Caenorhabditis elegans: one gene and its partners. The protein of the gene in region 4 purifies or fractionates together with the protein of the main gene of each other region. This does not show direct contact. Each region holds a gene or a part of one and is shown on either strand. Other genes may lie near its edges.

Region 1 (4,026 bases), on a different chromosome or scaffold from region 4:
GCTTATTCATATTTTAATTTTTTAAATAAGTATATTTTTACCGAAAAACTATGTAAAGTCGATGAAAATTCAGCGGCAACGAAATTTTTAAACTACAGTACTTTTTAAAGGCTCACATCTATTTTTGTTTTCCAAAAAAACGGCGTGTCGATACCGGCTACCGTATTTTTGTCGCGAAAATCGTAAAATTTCGCTGATAAGTGAACATAGCTTTTGGAAATATTTTTAAAACTTTTTTCGAACTGCCAAAAAAGCGTTGAAAGTTTTTGAGTAATCTTATTATGAAATTTAAGTAATTCAAAACCATTTTGAGTCTATTAAAACGAAAACAATTTTATCCGTTTCTCATCAGTTAAAAATTGAAATATATAATATTTAATTGATATTTGCCTACTTAGGAGTATTTAATTCAAAGAAATCAAGATTTTCAGTTTATTTTTTTTTGTTTTTCTGAACAAAACATACCGATTTCTGGAAGCTGGCAATTGTCCATCTCCAGAATCATCTCCAACTAATAACTGCTGACTATCGGTTGTTTCGCTTCGGGAAAGTAGGGAAAATCCTCTGAAACTTCAAACTTTATACATTTCTTCTAAGTGAAATTTGTTACCCAATAGACGTTGGAAGCTTGTTGCGAAGTGAATCAAATGAAGAAAATGAAGCTGAACTGCTGATACCACTTCCTTTCTTCTTCTGATCATTTATGAACTGCTCTAGAGCAGACATGCCCTTTAAATTGTTGTTGTAAAACATTTATTGACATCGTTATCATAGAAACCTTTCTGGCAGAATACCAATTTTCAACGAGGGTGAATTGCGATTTTAAAAATGAATGATTTATTGGAGTTTAAGAAACTACATACACAAAAAGAAAACTTTTAAACTAAAAAAAAAGAAATCGGCTCGAGATTTGAAACAGATAATTCTAATGATGACCATCCCATGAGGTGGTTCCGTGAGTCTTGTATTGGTAAGCTTCTTCAACGAAAATCAAGGCAGCTGTGAATGCAACTCCAGCTTTCCATCCAGGAAGAATCAACTGAAATTTATTAAATAATTTTAAAAAATTCCCTAAATACATTAATATAATTTTTGGAAAATCGGCTTGCTCGGAAATTTTCCAAACAAGAGCACATTTATAGGATACAATCCATAAAAATTTTTTAATATTATGTTGGTATTATATTAATAATATTTAATTCATCTCGAAGAAAACACGAACCTTCTTGAAATGAGCCCATTGTCCAACAACGTGTGGATACTTTCGATCGTACAAGTAGACGTAGTTTCTGAAAGAAAAATCAATAATATATTTATTAATATTATCGATAAAAAACCGACCTGATCCATGGATCCTTCAATCCGATTTGAGCGAGTCGTTTTTCATGCTGCGCCAACTGTGGAAAATCGCGAAAATTGCTGTAGATTGAGTAGTTTGGGATCTTAAACGGCTCGTGATGTCCTCCACCCATTCTGGAATTAAAATAATTGAAAAAAAATGTTTTAGAAACCTGTATTATGAAAATAAATGAAGAGAACGATAAAATCAGAAAGAAATGCCAGCCGAGTTTGTGTAGATTTACGCGGTGTGTAAGCGTGCGGCAGTTGCGTTTTCCGTCAGAGCGCAACTGCGGCACACTTTTCTCAATCAATTGTCAGGAGATTTTGGCTTGTTCCAACGCACCACTTTTGTTTTGGCTGTATTTTCAGATTCTCAACATTTTTTCTGCTTTTTTAATAAAGGAAAACTTTAACCATGTCGAAACGTAATCAAAAAGTGAGTTTTTATTCGGAAAAATCAATATTAACTAGAAAAGAACGATGTTTTAATTCAAATTTCAGGGCGTATCTACGGAAGATGCCGTAAAAATGACGAAGGAGCAAGAAGACATTGCCAAATACATCAGATTCAATTGTCCGACAGCCACGACCATGTTTGAAGGAAACGAAGTTCATTATTTCAGTGGTATGTACAAATTTCAATTGTTTATATTAATATCGCATATATTTTCAGGAAATAAAGCTGTCGATACTCTTTGGGAATCCAAGTACGGAAATAAAGCAAAGAAAGATGCAATGTTTAAAACAAGGTGGGCATTCTGTAGAAATTACGTAAATTTAAATAGATTCTAAATTTTCAGAGATGATTGCTTCCATTATATTTGCGAACTCAACTCGAAACAATTATTCTTCCGTGCAAAAAAATTAGTAGCAAAGAAAAAAGAGAATAAAGATAAAGGAAACGATTCTTCTGGTAATCATAAAACTTAAAAAATATCTTAAAACACGTTTTTTTCAGCTGAAGTTACCAAATCTCCAAAAGGTGTAGTTGAAAAGAGAAATAAAAAAGCCAAAGAAGAAGAAACAGCAACCGAAGCTGAAGGTGATGAGAAAGAAGTGAAAAAAGACGAAAAGAAAGACGAAGAAAAAAAGAAAAAGAAGGTGAAGCTTCTTGTACATGAAGTTCAAGCATTCGTCGATGACAAAGATGTCTACGTTTGGGTATTCGATCCAACTCCTCTCATGAAAAAGATTATTGGAGTACTTATGCGTAAGTTTTCCCTTTTTGATTTGTTATTTCCTGCTTTAGAAATGATTCAATGTGTAAAATTAAAATCCAATTAATATATTTCAGTCGTCGGTACAATTGTCGGATGCTTGTTCCCTCTATGGCCTGTATGGCTTCGCCAAGGAGTTTATTACGTATCAATTACTGGAATTGGATGTTTTGCAGCTATCATTGTCACTGCTATACGTGAGTTGTTTCAACAATAATATTCATTTTTCGATTATTTTCAGTCCGTACTATTCTTTTCGGAATTATCTACGCTGTTACTTTCGGAAAACACAAACTCTGGGTTCTGCCGAACTTGACTGAAGACTGTGGAGTTCTTGAATCATTCCAACCATGGTATACTTATGAGTATGTTGGTGATGAGAAGAAAGAAGCTAAGAAAGATAAGAAAGATAAAAAGTCGAAAAAAGAAAAGGATTCTGATGCAGAAGAGGAGGAGCAAGACCACATTGCTGCTGAACAGGAGCAAAAAGAGGAAGAAGACGATGATGCTGAAAAAAATAGTCAGGCATCAACTGATGATAATTATGAAAAAATTGAAGACGAGGTAATCTGATAAGTGTTTCAATTTAAATAATTATAATTTTGAAATTTAGGAAATCTCTGCTCCACCATCACCAAGTGACGATGCTCCTCGAAAACGTCGTCCAGCTAAAGTCTAGAAATTTAGTTTATCCTGAAATTTTTCCATTCCACATTTCTGCATTTATGAAAACTTGTCCTGAAAATCTATTGCATTACCCTCATCCTGTCGGTTTCGTCACATTTTAAATACTATTTTTCGTCCCATTCTTCCATACTGTGATTACCCTCTTGGCTAGTTTCTTCTTTCTCAGTCACTCTTCATTGTTCTTGCATAACTAAAATCTGAATGTTTCCGTTTCGGTCCACTATTGGACATATAATAAATTGGTCTATACAAAAGTCAAACAAGATAATTTCTTCATCAAACTTGGCTCATATAACAATAGAAAATTGAATAACTTGAAACATGCCAAAATGAATGTAGAAAATAATGATATAAATATGTGGAGATGGGGGGAGAAAGAGGAAGTACGACCCGTGTTGATTAACACAATTCCGAATCGGACTGATGGAACAAGAAAAGGGAGATAAATGTGAAAAGATGACCATCACAGCACATCAAAAAGACGTGGTTAAAGCATGAATTGTCTATAGAGTGTTCGTAGAATGGAATAACAAACTATTGAGGCCGATTCTGCTGCAACGCTGGCCATTGGGATGCAGACATCATTGGATGTGGTCCAAGAATTCCAGCGCCAGTGTTTGGGGATCCATTGTTTGCGTGTTGTTCTCGAATCGCATTCACATTACGTGGTGGGCATCTGCAAAAAGAATGTTAACAATATTTTAAAATGAGCCAAGTAATTGAAACTCACCCAAATGGAATTGGATTTTGACTCATCGGAGGTTGCTGTAGATTTGGTTGA
Region 2 (4,147 bases), on a different chromosome or scaffold from region 4:
TTTTTCTGGTTAAATTCTGCTAAAATTCGTAATTTTTTGGCAACATTTCCACGTCTTTTGTAGTATTACATATACAAAAATACTGTAATTGGTCTCGACACGATAACATTTTTTCTTCAATGTAAAAAAGATGTGCGCCTTTAAAGATTACTGTAGTTTTACTTGTTGTAATTTTCTTTGTTCTTCGTGAGAAATATTAAAAAATCGATGAAACTCCACAAAGTTTGAAACTACAGTACTCTTTAAAGGCGCACACCTTTTTAACATTGAAGAATTTCGCGTCTGTGTAATAACCAGGGCTTCCCTTTTTGTTCCTTTTTTCTTTAAAAAATTAGTTTTTTCAATAAAATTGATTTCTTTACAAAACATGGTTTTTGTCTAAAAAATCGTGCTTTTTATACAAAAAAATTGGGTTTCTTCCGAGAAAATCTGTGTTTTTTCCAAACAAATTGTTATTTAATTAAAGTTTTCGAAAAAACATCTGAAAATCCTCCGAACCTTGTACAAAATCAGCGAAACCACCACAACTCCGGCGGTTTCGGGCGTATTTTTGACCTTTTCAACGATAGCATCCGGCATATGAAGCCATTCGAGCAATGAAATCACATCAACTCCACTTTTAACCACCAAATACAATGCGATAAACCATGCTGTACACGATGCCGCGTGAGCCGGCACAGCGATATACCAATATCTTTTAAAATAATATTTCACTTTTGCGAACAACGTTTTCGGCGCTTCTTCCGCCTTCATTTGCTCGATTTTCGCCGTTTTTGCGAGTTTTTGCTCCTCAGACATTGTCATTCTGAACATTTTCCATTTTTGATCGTCTGGCTTCTTCGGAGTGGGCTCTTTCTCGTGGAGTTGTCGACTTGTGTGCAGGAATCGTGAGCTTGATGGGGTCTGGAATTGAGCACAACAGATGCTCCGCGAGCATCGGATTATGGATCGAGCCAAAAGCATTTTGCCTGAATGAAAATTTTGGCCTAAAGGGGGTCTTAAAATTATCTAAAGTAAGTTTCCCGGGGATTTACACTCTCAACTCTTTAAACTTTTTTTTACGTCAGTCTAGCAATTAAATTTCAATTTATGGCTATTTGGGGGCTACTGAACTTATAAATACACGAATGGGGTGGAAAAAGGGGCAAAAATCAATAAATTACATTTTGTATATATAAATAAAAACAAAAAGAACAAAAACCCAGCACGCAAACGTGCGTTGACCAGTAATTTGGGGATAAAAACAATGATATTTAGTGGACAAGTTCGGTCTTTTGACGAATGGCGTAGTAAAGGCCAATGACGACGATGATGACGGCGACAGTCTCGGAAGAGATTGGAGACTTCGTGGCGAGACCCTGCAAAAAATGATTTTTAAAGATAATTATGTGAAAATGATGCAATTCTCACCCCATGGCTTTGTTGAACGGTGAAGAGTGGCTTGGTGACAGGGTTCTTGGCGTATTGAGCGGCTCCCTCCTCGTCGAAAATGTTAATATTAAAGGTTTGAGCTCCGGCGTCCTTGTGCTCAAGAGTCCATGAGACTTGGAACTTGGCGGTCTCGTCGGAAATCGAGACTGGGATAAGGCGACCGTTTACTTCAGCAGTGTATTGGATATTCTTCGGGTTGTTGCTGCATTGAAGTGTGAACTCGGTGATGAAGGTGGTTTTGTAGTGGAAGAATCCGTCGGTAGTGGAGAATGACGAGGCCGAGTACTTTGGCGACTCGCACTTGGCGCCTGGAATATTTATTGTTTTATTTGTATTAAATGTTAACAATCTACGCTTAAAATTCGAAAAATCGAGCCTTATTTTTATACAAGCCACACATTTGAATAATTTGTGTGGGAATTTATTAATTTTTCCAACTTACAAAGAGCGGAAGCGACAAGGCAAAGGGCGACGGCGATCTTCAGCATTATTACCTGCAAAAAAGTAATTAAATTCGTGTTTTGAAGAATTATCTTGTAAAATGAGTAAAATAGGCATTCTATACGTATTTTACTCGAATTTGCATCATTTTAACGCACAAAATTCATGTTTTTAGGGTAAAAATCAAGAAAATAAGTGAAAAATTCATTAAAAACACATTTTAATTCACTAAAACGATGTTTTCTCGACAGTTTCACGTAAAACAAACTCACTTGGCAGCTAGCCAGTTTGCAGTTCTCTCCCGTTCGCTGCGAGACCCACACCGCTGGGAAACTCCATGCGCCTTTAATGCCGATCCAAAATCGATCGTTCAAGAACTTCTTTTGCGCTTCAAAACTTTTGCAAACTGACTTTTTCTCCCGTTTTTCTGCTTTAAAAGTTTGCGGAAAAATTATTTTATTTATTTTATAAGCTATTTTCGATTTCTGTCCCATAAATTCGTTTAAAAAAATCGAAAATAAAAGCGTTCACTCTAAAACGAAAATTCTAGTTCCAGATATCATAAAAATGGCTTCTAGTAGCAGTGGTGGAGCAGGTGGAGCAGGTGGAGCAAGTGGAGCACCAGAAGTCAAGATTCACAACGTATATATGTCAAACGTGGAGGAGGAATTCGCGAGGATTCGAGGATTCGTCGAGGTACAGCCGATCGTTTGAATATTTTTAAAAAATCGGTTTTTTTTCAGGATTATCCCTACGTGGCAATGGACACAGAATTTCCCGGAGTTGTGGCGACACCGTTGGGCACATTTCGAAGCAAGGAAGATTTCAATTATCAGCAAGTGTTCTGTAATGTGAATATGCTGAAATTAATACAAGTGGGCTTTGCAATGGTCAATGACAAAGGAGAGCTACCACCGACTGGCGATGTTTGGCAGTTCAATTTCAATTTCTCCTTCGCTGAAGACATGTTCTCGCATGAGAGTGTCGAAATGCTCCGGCAAGCCGGAATAGACTTCACATTGCTGCAGGTTTTTTTAATATTGATTTTCCAATATTTTAATAATAATTTCTTTCTTCCAGAACAATGGAATACCGACAGCAGTATTCGGAGAACTTTTGACGACGTCAGGCCTCATCACTGATCCACGGATCACATGGCTCACGTTCTCTTCCGGCTACGACTTTGGATATTTGTTGAAAAGCATCACACTTGGAGATCTGCCTAAGGAAGAGTCAACGTTCTTCATGTGCCACAAAACTCTCTTCCCAACCAGCTTCGACATCAAAATCCTGCTCCGAACTCCAAATTGCGCGTCTGCAAAGCTGAAAGGAGGACTTCAAGAGGTCGCCGATCAGCTGGACGTGAAACGACAAGGAGTTCGCCATCAAGCTGGATCCGACGCACTGCTGACCGCCGCCACGTTTTTCAAGATCAAAAAGCAGTTTTTCGGAGACAACTGGAACCAGATTGCTCCATTGATCTGTGGACATATGTTTGGTCTTGGATCTTCGCTTTCGCTGTTCCATAGCTCCGGATCAACTTCTCGACTAGGCGATGAGACACCACAAGGCCTAATCGGAGTTCCACAACAAGCCTGAACAGATCTCTTTCCCGTCATTTTTCATGTGTCTATTTCTTTTATTTTTTTCTTCCTTTTTCCACCAAAAACCGTCTACACTGTTATTGTAAATTAGCTGTCTGTTTCGTGCCCTTCCCCATCTCTCACCCAAGTTTTTTGTGTTTTCACGCGCCCTATAATTTGTCTTTGTTATTATATCTCCCTATACTTGATGACTATACGCTTAGTTGTTTATAGGTGATCATTACTCTGAAAGTTCGATCTTTTTTATTTGTAATTTTCAGCAGCAGTAGAAGCTGGGCGAGATCGGGCGCCCCGTGTATCTTTTTATTTTCATTTTCCCTCCCCTATGCCCAAAAAAATAAAAATTTTCGAAATCTACTCGCGGAAACTTTAAATTTTCAACTAAAATAAGGGTTTTTGAGCCTGAAATTATCTTTTTCAGCTGTTTTGTCTAGATTCAAAGCTTAACAAAAGTAGTATTTCAGCAAAAAATGCCGAGCGGTGGACAGAGGAAGCACACGATTTCGAACAAGACACGTAAACGTCCCGGAAAGGATTTGGATCAAATCCATGAGGATTTGAAGCCTGAAAAGGCCGCCAAGCTTCTCCAGCAAGAGGTTTTTCAGATTTATTACTCGAAATAAACCCTTAGAATTCGCAACACTGCCGCACGGTTGTATTTTAACTGCTTT
Region 3 (4,111 bases), on a different chromosome or scaffold from region 4:
CTTATCTTGATCATCTCCATCATACATCGGACTGTAATCATAGTAGTCGTCGAGCTCAATCATGCTTTCAGGATCTCTGCGGAGTTTGCAGTGCTGCTTATCTCGCATGTGCTGCTGACAACTCTGAACTGATTCGTATCTGGCTTTAACGTCTGGGCAGAAGATACAGCAACGACCAGCTCCAACTTTAAGTCCCAAGTAGCTTAAGCATCCAAGTTCATCGCTCAAGTATTGCCTGTCTGGAAGTTGGAATCCATGATGGAAGTTCATATGAGTACGCATTTCATCCATATTAGGCTTTGTCTGTGGACAAAACAGACAAGATGTGACTGGAAGAGCATCATCCTCATTTAGTTCCTCCACACCTTCCTCCTCATCGTCAGTTTCCCATCCACTCGAGTCATCATCTTCATCATTTTCAGGTTCCTTTAGTGACTCAGGTTTCTTTGGCAAATTCTCTGGCTTCTTTCTTGGTTGCTTTGGACCTTTCTTCACATCATCCTCAATCTTCTTCTCATTTTCCTTGTGCTTTTTGCTAGCTACGTGATCAGTCATTGCATTCTCCGATTTGATTGATTTCCGACAAGCCTTGCAGTACAATGGTTCAACTGAAGCAGCAACGACTGGCTGAAAAATTGATAATGAGTAAGTATTAAGCGAACATTAGAAAACTTTTCCCCTACCTTTGTTGGGTTGAACGATGCAGCTTTCTCATTGAAAAGCTCAATTCCTATAGCTGGAAGCTCAGCAGCTTGTCTTTTCAGATTGTACCGATGCCATTCGGTTTTGTAATGATCTCTCTGCAGCTCGGCTGTCTCGAAGACGACACGGCATGTTACACATGTGAACCCTGTAGATCCATCCATTCTGATAGATCTCTGTAATAAAATGTTTAATTTAAAGCTTACAAGAAGAAATTTAAATAAATTGGAAAAAATATGCAAATGGTCAGCAATAACCATTTAAACAGATGAATAATAAATGATAATATACAATGAAAATACAGCTATATTTATTTGTTCAGTGACGTTAAATTCATAAAAAACAAAACAAAATTATTCGGTCTACGAGTGAGCTCGTTCTACTTAAAATCAATCGCATTACTTCCTCATAGTGGCCTATTTGGAAACAGTTGGGGCAGCAGCTGGTAGTTGGGTTTGAATTGACGCGATCTCCTCATCCCAAGCTTTTTCGATTTTGGCCCAGTGAGTCAGCAACTCCTTCTTTCTCTGCTCACGAGTATTGAAGTAGTAGGGGAACTGTTCACGTTCAGCCAATGTCCATTGATCCGAATCGACAATCTCATCCGGCGACTCGCGTTCACGATCATAACTGGAACCTCCTGGATCGAGAGCAAAACGGAAAGGCTTGAAATGACGTTTCTCCCACAATTGACGGCATCCGTCGGCAAGAAGGATCTGGCTCTTACGGGTGTCAACCTCATCAGCGTTAGCGTCGAATCGAGCACGGATAATACACTTTTGGAAGCGAACTTCCAGATTGTTTCCTCCATACCAGTTGTCAACTTCGCGAAGACAGCGTTTGTAGAGGCGGGTGACCTGAAAATGCAATAATTCGCTACATTTTAAACAGACGAAATCTCCAATCAGATTAAAAAACAACGCTACCAATTTCACAAACGACTAAAGCTTTTCAAAAATAAAAATTACCTTCTGTCTATGGCTCAGCGCCTTCGTGAACATCCACGCCGGCGAATCCATGGCTTCCTCCCGGTCTTCTCTGAAAACAATGGGTTTTATAGAGTACAAAAATATGTGATTGGAACAATAAAATAAAATTGGAAAAAAAACCAATCAGTTTAATTTTTAGTAAACAAGGAAAAGTAACAATTTTCATTTGAATTTTTGGGTAAAAGAGTTAAAAATTAAAAAGCAAATAACAACAACACAATTGGAAGAGGGCGAATAAAAGAAAAGAACAAAAATAACGATAACAGACAAAATGGAATGCGAAGTTTTATGCCTTGACCCTTTGTCGTGGCTCCGTTTCTTCTTCGTATTCAATCTCAACATGAGCTCGTTTCTTGAGCTTCTTCTTCTTTCCATCAGCAGCTTTCTTCCCAGTCTTTTTCTTCGGCTCCTTCTTTACCTTCTTCTTTGGTGGCTCCTCAATTTCCATTGGCTCATCACCTCCTTCCTCATCATCTTCATCCGAATCCTCTTGTTCTTGTTCTGGCTGCCAATTATCCTCGTTCTCACTGTCAGTATCTCCTGGTGACCAATGTCCATCACCTCCGTCTTCCATGTCCTGATCCTCATCGTCGGAACTATCAAAGTCAGCGACGAACTGAGTCTCACCCGTGTCTGCGTCGTCCTGCTCGAGTTCTTGCTCCACTTCCAACTCTTTTTCAGTGTTTTCCAGCATTTGTTCGAATGCCTCTTGACGGAAGTTGTAAACATCGCCATATGTTCCTTGTCTAAAAGTTGTTTCATTCAAAATGTGCACTTTCTAATATATCAACTCACTTAAGTCTGGCTAAGAGCTCTTTCTCAATAGCGTGATCAAGTTTAGCTGCAACAAGTGCCTTCTCTTCACGACGTTTCTCACGTCTTTCCACTTTCCGTCCAATTGGAATGAGTTTCTTCTGGCTGAAAATAAATAATACTATGCAAAATTCAGTTTCTATAAGTTTAAACTTACTTTCCACGGACTGCCATTTTACGCATTCTGATCAAATATTGATGAATTCGGATGAGACGAGCTTTGCACTTGTGTCTAACATATTCACTCCAATGAAGAAGTTGATCACTGATTTGTTCCAATGCTTTGTTCATATCCTTTGACAACTTTGTCTTTTCCCATAAACGACGTGGATAGTGAGATCGTTCGACAACTTTTGCGTACAAGTAACATACTCCGTTCTCCTCACGAACTGTTGCATACTGTGAGTTAGCCAATGGACACGAAGCTCTGTTGCACAAACCAGTCAAATTCATTTCATTTTTACAGAACATTTTTGGCTTTGTCCACGCTTTGTAGGCGCATTGTCCCTTGTTGAGAATGTTCCAAGTCACATCGTCGCACTGCATTTTTACCCAGTTTCTGAAAAATTCGAATTTTTTGAGTTGTTTTTCACACGAGAATTACTTCGATAAAAGGAAAAAGAAGCAAGAATTGATTGAGAAGAACGGGCAAAAAAATTGTGAAAGAACCGAAAGTGTGCGTCTTCGCGTGGCGGTGTTTGCACACTTTGTCAGTCCCGCGTGCCTTAAGGCGCCTTCTCTCTATTTTCATCTTTCAATTAAAATTTAAAGTCTCAAACAAATATTTTCACAGGAAATAACTGGGCCACAGGAACGCAATTAAAATAATATAAACACCAGAGAATATTTATTCATTAGTTAAAACAAGCAAACCGTATTTTAAAGTATTCAAAACAATGGAAATGTACTTGAAACAAACTGTTACACCGTACAATTGAGGATATGAATAGTAACATCGAAAATTGATGTGATAGTGCATGTAAAAAATCTAATACGTTTTATTCTAGTAATTCAGCAACCGGCTCCTCTTTCGCTGGAGATTCAATAGCTGAACTGGTTTCTGTTGCTGGTGCATCTTCGTCACATTGATCTTCCCATGTGGGACCTTCATCCAGTTTTTTCGCCGCCTCAATCTCATCTTCGGTCATATCGCGTTCGACTTCAACAACATACTCTTTTTGTTGCACTTTTTGCCACCCTTCTTCCTCGTCTTTCCACCAATCTTTTGGAGGTGAAGATACTAAATTACTTGTTGTCGGAACGTTACTTTCTTCATCGTCCGAATCGACATCGCTCCCCAAAAGAGCAAATTGGTTTTGTTGTTTCAATGGGATTGGGGCAGTTATTTCCTGGAAAATAAAAATATTGAAATCTGAACAATGCCAGACAAAAATTATATATTTACCTTCATTGGACGAGCTTCTCTCCGAACTACCATTTTTTCCGTACATCTTAATGGTTTCATGAGACCTTCTGTTTCTTCTTTTTTACTCAAAGCTTGATCCATTATATCTTTTCTAATAACAGCAGGTCCTGGCGTCTTTAGAGCTCCTTTGTAGTTTACAAGATCACTAATGAGAACGAGAGGCTGATGAGATTTTCCTCGT
Region 4 (4,101 bases):
TACACACATTGAACGGAGACATGCAAATGCAACAGATCGATTTTTCGGATTATTAATTCCCAATTCAATAACTTGAATTATATCTTTTCGTTCTACAAATAATCCCGGCTTTGAAGCGTATCCGAGTGAAAGTGCGAGAACTTCAAAAAGAAGAGAAGTCAGCGAATCTCGATGAGAAGACACTCCCAATGTTCTAAGCTGAAGGAGATCTGAAAATAAATTCAGATTTTACGTGCCAATAGAGTTGTACTTTTTTTTGTTGATAAAATTACTAACCATTTGATACATTTTTAATCTTGGTTGCACTCAACAAAACTTCAAGCGTATTCAACAACATTGTTAGATTCTGATTGCTAATTCTCAATCCAAACAGTTCAGCAGCCAATCCACGAATATTGGGATCACTTGTTTGTGCAGCAGCATCCATGCAATTAAGAATAATCTTGAATACAATTGGAGAATGAAGTTCTCCAGCTTGCGGATTTCTAACAAGAAGTTCTCGAGTATAAAGTGATCCACATAATTGAAAATGATCCGAGATATGAGCAAGTCGATTAGCCAATCGCGATTGAACTGCTCGTAGAGTTTGTGAAGAACATTTGATGATCATTCTCGACATAAGACAAAATCCTAGTTCTTGTTCTTTACGTGTTCGATTGGATCCAACGAGACGGAGACATTTTTCGAAAGTCTGAAACTTATTTGATGAATGGATCCATGACAGAATATGTAGGTTTTTAGATAATTCAAAAAAATTTGACAATTTCTAACCTGAATTTCGTCTTCTGGTTTTCCAACCATTGTTTCTTGGACGACTTTTCGGATTTCGGTCATCTCTGAAAGGTGTTTTTAAATTATAATATGGAAAACTAATCGGAATCATTATAGCATAGATATATTACAAATGATACGAACAACAAAAAAATTTTCAACATTAAAAAAAAGTGTACGACTCAATATTTATCCGAAATCGAGAGAAAAAGAAACGAAACAAAAGACACATAGTATTCACAAAAAACTATACTATTATCAAAAATCATTTAAAGAAATATCTCATCGACATCTATTCAAGCAGTGGCTTCTTTGCGAGCCTGTCTTTGAAGCAATCGTCGTTCACGTTCGAATTCTTTGATTCTCATGATATGATCATCATATTCACATTTATCCCAAGCTCCACGTTCTCCGTCGCACGCGTGTCCGGCAAATGGTGCATTTTGGGTCTGAATATAATAAATTATTTTTGCTGTTTTTGAGAAAATAATTTTAGATGTGTATTTTTATATAATTTTAAAAATATATCATTGTAACTAAAACAAAAATCTTACTTGGCATTTCATGAGTGAAATCAAGTGGTGAGCACAATAATCGCGTTGAGCTGGCTTCAACTTCCACTGCTCCATCTCTTCCCAAGTAGCCTTCATCTCGCGGACCTTGAATATTAAACTTTATTATATTGAATATTTATGAATTAAATGAACAGTTATTTAATGAACTTTTAAAAAAGTTGTTTACCTTTCTCGGTCGCTCGAATCCATACTGAGGATCGAAAGTTGGTGGTCTGTCGACACGTGGCGCGGTTTCTGGTGTACTGGCTCCTTCCAATGAGACGGACAGTTTAGTTCCCATCTTGGCTGAAAAAAAAGGAATTGGTACAAAATAAAGAAAGCATCAAAACTCTTCTGATATTTGAATCAACTCAAAATAAATAATTAGCATGCTTAGGGCAGCGAATGCTTTGCTGATAAGAAGTGAACAATTTATATTTTAATAATTTAACATATTTTTCCGGAAAATATTCTTCTAAAACGTTAAAAACAAAGTAAAGCTGAAAATTGGCACAAAAATTGCCCGAAATAAAATAAGATAAACAACAAGCACTTGTGTAATATCGGAGTGTCGTTGTAATCAAAGTGAGTGCGTGCAAAAAGCAAGTTTACAGCGGGTTCATTGACCGAATTTTCAATGTCAAAAACATTTTCTTATCTAAACTTTTGTTTGTTTCTGTTACTTTTCATTTTCTCACAGATGTTTCAATCATTTAAACGCTTATTACTTAGCATTTTTCGAGTTTTATAAATTTTATTAAAGTACAGTAACCATGTTTATAGATTCTTCTTTTGAAAATGGCATCCTTCCGTTCTACACTCGCCCTTGTCAATTCTGCTAAGCTTTCGCTGTCCACAAGAGTAGGTTTTTCTATTTTTTCTGATGAAAACTATTAGATAATCGCTTTTTTACTTTAAAAATTTTGACTTTTCAGACCATGGCTTCCCATCCATTGGCAGGACTTCTCGGAAAGTTGAACCACGTCGCCATTGCCACACCAGATCTCAAGAAATCATCGGAATTCTACAAGGGCCTCGGAGCAAAAGTTAGCGAGGCTGTGGTTAGTCTTTAATTTTTGTTTCTTCCTAATGTCAATAAAAATTTAGAGCAAAAATATGTAGAAAATATTTTTGTTAAATTCTTTGTAGCATAAATCAAAATAAAAATTGAATAGCCTAAAATTTTGAAATAGCATAACAAAAAACGAAAAATTTTGGAAAAACCCCTACAACTGAAAAATGAAATAAAATGCGAATGAAGCGAATTTTGTGTACTACAGTAAACTTACTTGAAAAATATTTATTTAATTACAAGTTTTTTCATAAAAATGATAAAAATCCGCAAATAAAAAATAAAATGTCTCATCTAGTTTATATTAAAATTTTTGAATTGAATAATTACAGCCACAACCAGAACATGGAGTCTACACTGTCTTCGTTGAGCTTCCAAACTCAAAAATCGAGCTTCTTCATCCATTCGGCGAGAAATCTCCAATTCAAGCTTTTTTGAATAAGAATAAGGACGGTGGAATGCATCATATTTGTATTGAAGTTCGTGATATTCATGAAGCTGTTTCTGCTGTTAAAACAAAAGGAATTCGTACTTTGGGTGAGAAACCAAAAATTGGAGCTCATGGAAAAGAAGTAATGTTCTTGCATCCAAAGGATTGTGGAGGTGTACTTATTGAACTCGAGCAGGAATAATTTGATTCTTTGTTCCCAAAATCTAGCAATCATATTATCTGTTTGACAAAGTTTTGATCTTCACTTTTTTGTGAGAAACTTCACAAATTTTAAATTTCGCAAAAGTTCTCTCAAAATTTTTTATTGGCAGCCTATAACTTTTGAAAAATCGATAATATGATATAAATTACAAAAAAAAAAACTATAAACCTTTCTTTTAGCACCCAGTATTTTGCATAGAGATTAATTTTTGATACGTTTTAATCTGTTCACATGTTTTATTGTTTCTTGTGCCATAATAATTGCCTACAACTTCAATAAATTGTTTCATTAAATTTTCAAAATATAAATTCGTTTACATGTTTTCAAAAATATAATTTGAATTTTAAAGCGAAAAACTACGAAAAAACATATCAGAAAAGAATGTAAAATTTATGGGTAATATGAAAAAAACCTATTTTCAGAAAAGTTACAGTGGATTAGGATTTGGAAAAAAAAGAAGAAAATCAAAACTGTATGAACTACACTCTTAGAAATTTCAGACTTAAGCGAAGAATGTCAATAATCAGAAATCAAAAACAAAATTACATCTATGACATAATCAGTATAAGATGGTCCCTGAGCCGTCAATCCTGAAATTCTAGTGGATATACTACGCACCTATTTGAAAGAGGGAAATTCTTTTTTAGAAAAATATTTTTCCAAATAAGACGAAAAGAATTTCAATCCAAAGATGTCCAAAGTGTTTGCGAAAAAGCTCGGTAAACATCGTTTCACAGTTTTATTCAGTTATTCAACATCGTTCAGTCTCTTTTCCTCTCCCTCGTTTCCAATTAGAAAACGACCTTTTTCGGTTCTTCAATCGATGCGCGCGAATTGTTCGTATACCTTCGATCACCACCACAAGTTGAAAACAAGTTGTTGTCGTCAATTCTGGTGATTCATCATCATCCTCTGCCAAACATATTCCTCATTTCAACAATTTAAAAGATTATCTAATGTTGAACAATCTTGGTACTCGATTATTCAAATCAGTTACTGATAAAGCTGGCGATCTTGGAGATAAATTTGAAGAAGAATTCACACGACTTTC

The links.
Region 1: the proteins of ndub-7 (region 4) and ndub-3 fractionate together in Caenorhabditis elegans (co-fractionation; one large-scale study listed by BioGRID). This does not show direct contact.
Region 2: the proteins of ndub-7 (region 4) and trap-4 fractionate together in Caenorhabditis elegans (co-fractionation; one large-scale study listed by BioGRID). This does not show direct contact.
Region 3: the proteins of ndub-7 (region 4) and C16A3.5 fractionate together in Caenorhabditis elegans (co-fractionation; one large-scale study listed by BioGRID). This does not show direct contact.

Annotation. Positions count from the first base shown.
Region 1 is NC_003280.10:8,963,418-8,967,443, forward strand, and holds ndub-3 (NADH dehydrogenase [ubiquinone] 1 beta subcomplex subunit 3), read right to left. Parts: upstream 1,474-4,026; 5' UTR 1,473-1,473; coding exon 1,342-1,472; intron 1,290-1,341; coding exon 1,223-1,289; intron 1,040-1,222; coding exon 926-1,039; 3' UTR 825-925; downstream 1-824. Other genes in the region: sftd-3 (Vesicle transport protein), read right to left, coding at 466-564, 611-726; sec-62 (Translocation protein SEC62), read left to right, coding at 1,757-1,777, 1,843-1,966, 2,015-2,090, 2,142-2,254, 2,300-2,551, 2,636-2,755, 2,800-3,122, 3,172-3,237; szy-20 (SUZ domain-containing protein), read right to left, coding at 3,780-3,921, 3,976-4,026.
Region 2 is NC_003281.10:11,918,513-11,922,659, reverse strand, and holds trap-4 (Translocon-associated protein subunit delta), read right to left. Parts: upstream 1,926-4,147; 5' UTR 1,920-1,925; coding exon 1,874-1,919; intron 1,740-1,873; coding exon 1,411-1,739; intron 1,359-1,410; coding exon 1,254-1,358; 3' UTR 1,073-1,253; downstream 1-1,072. Other genes in the region: Y56A3A.22 (DUF1279 domain-containing protein), read right to left, coding at 499-963; ccf-1 (CCR4-NOT transcription complex subunit 7), read left to right, coding at 2,440-2,568, 2,616-2,900, 2,953-3,471; znf-593 (Zinc finger protein 593 homolog), read left to right, coding at 3,947-4,072.
Region 3 is NC_003281.10:6,378,401-6,382,511, reverse strand, and holds C16A3.5 (NADH dehydrogenase [ubiquinone] 1 beta subcomplex subunit 9), read right to left. Parts: upstream 1,741-4,111; 5' UTR 1,722-1,740; coding exon 1,671-1,721; intron 1,560-1,670; coding exon 1,119-1,559; 3' UTR 995-1,118; downstream 1-994. Other genes in the region: znf-622 (C2H2-type domain-containing protein), read right to left, coding at 1-627, 684-866; C16A3.6 (Protein MAK16 homolog), read right to left, coding at 1,978-2,437, 2,487-2,609, 2,662-3,050; nfx-1 (Transcriptional repressor NF-X1 homolog), read right to left, coding at 3,503-3,853, 3,910-4,111.
Region 4 is NC_003279.8:7,579,998-7,584,098, forward strand, and holds ndub-7 (NADH dehydrogenase [ubiquinone] 1 beta subcomplex subunit 7), read right to left. Parts: upstream 1,632-4,101; 5' UTR 1,627-1,631; coding exon 1,513-1,626; intron 1,431-1,512; coding exon 1,326-1,430; intron 1,221-1,325; coding exon 1,068-1,220; 3' UTR 947-1,067; downstream 1-946. Other genes in the region: D2030.3 (Fanconi anemia group I protein), read right to left, coding at 1-209, 277-691, 772-834; mce-1 (Methylmalonyl-CoA epimerase, mitochondrial), read left to right, coding at 2,124-2,186, 2,261-2,386, 2,730-3,029; D2030.12 (DUF4129 domain-containing protein), read left to right, coding at 4,007-4,101.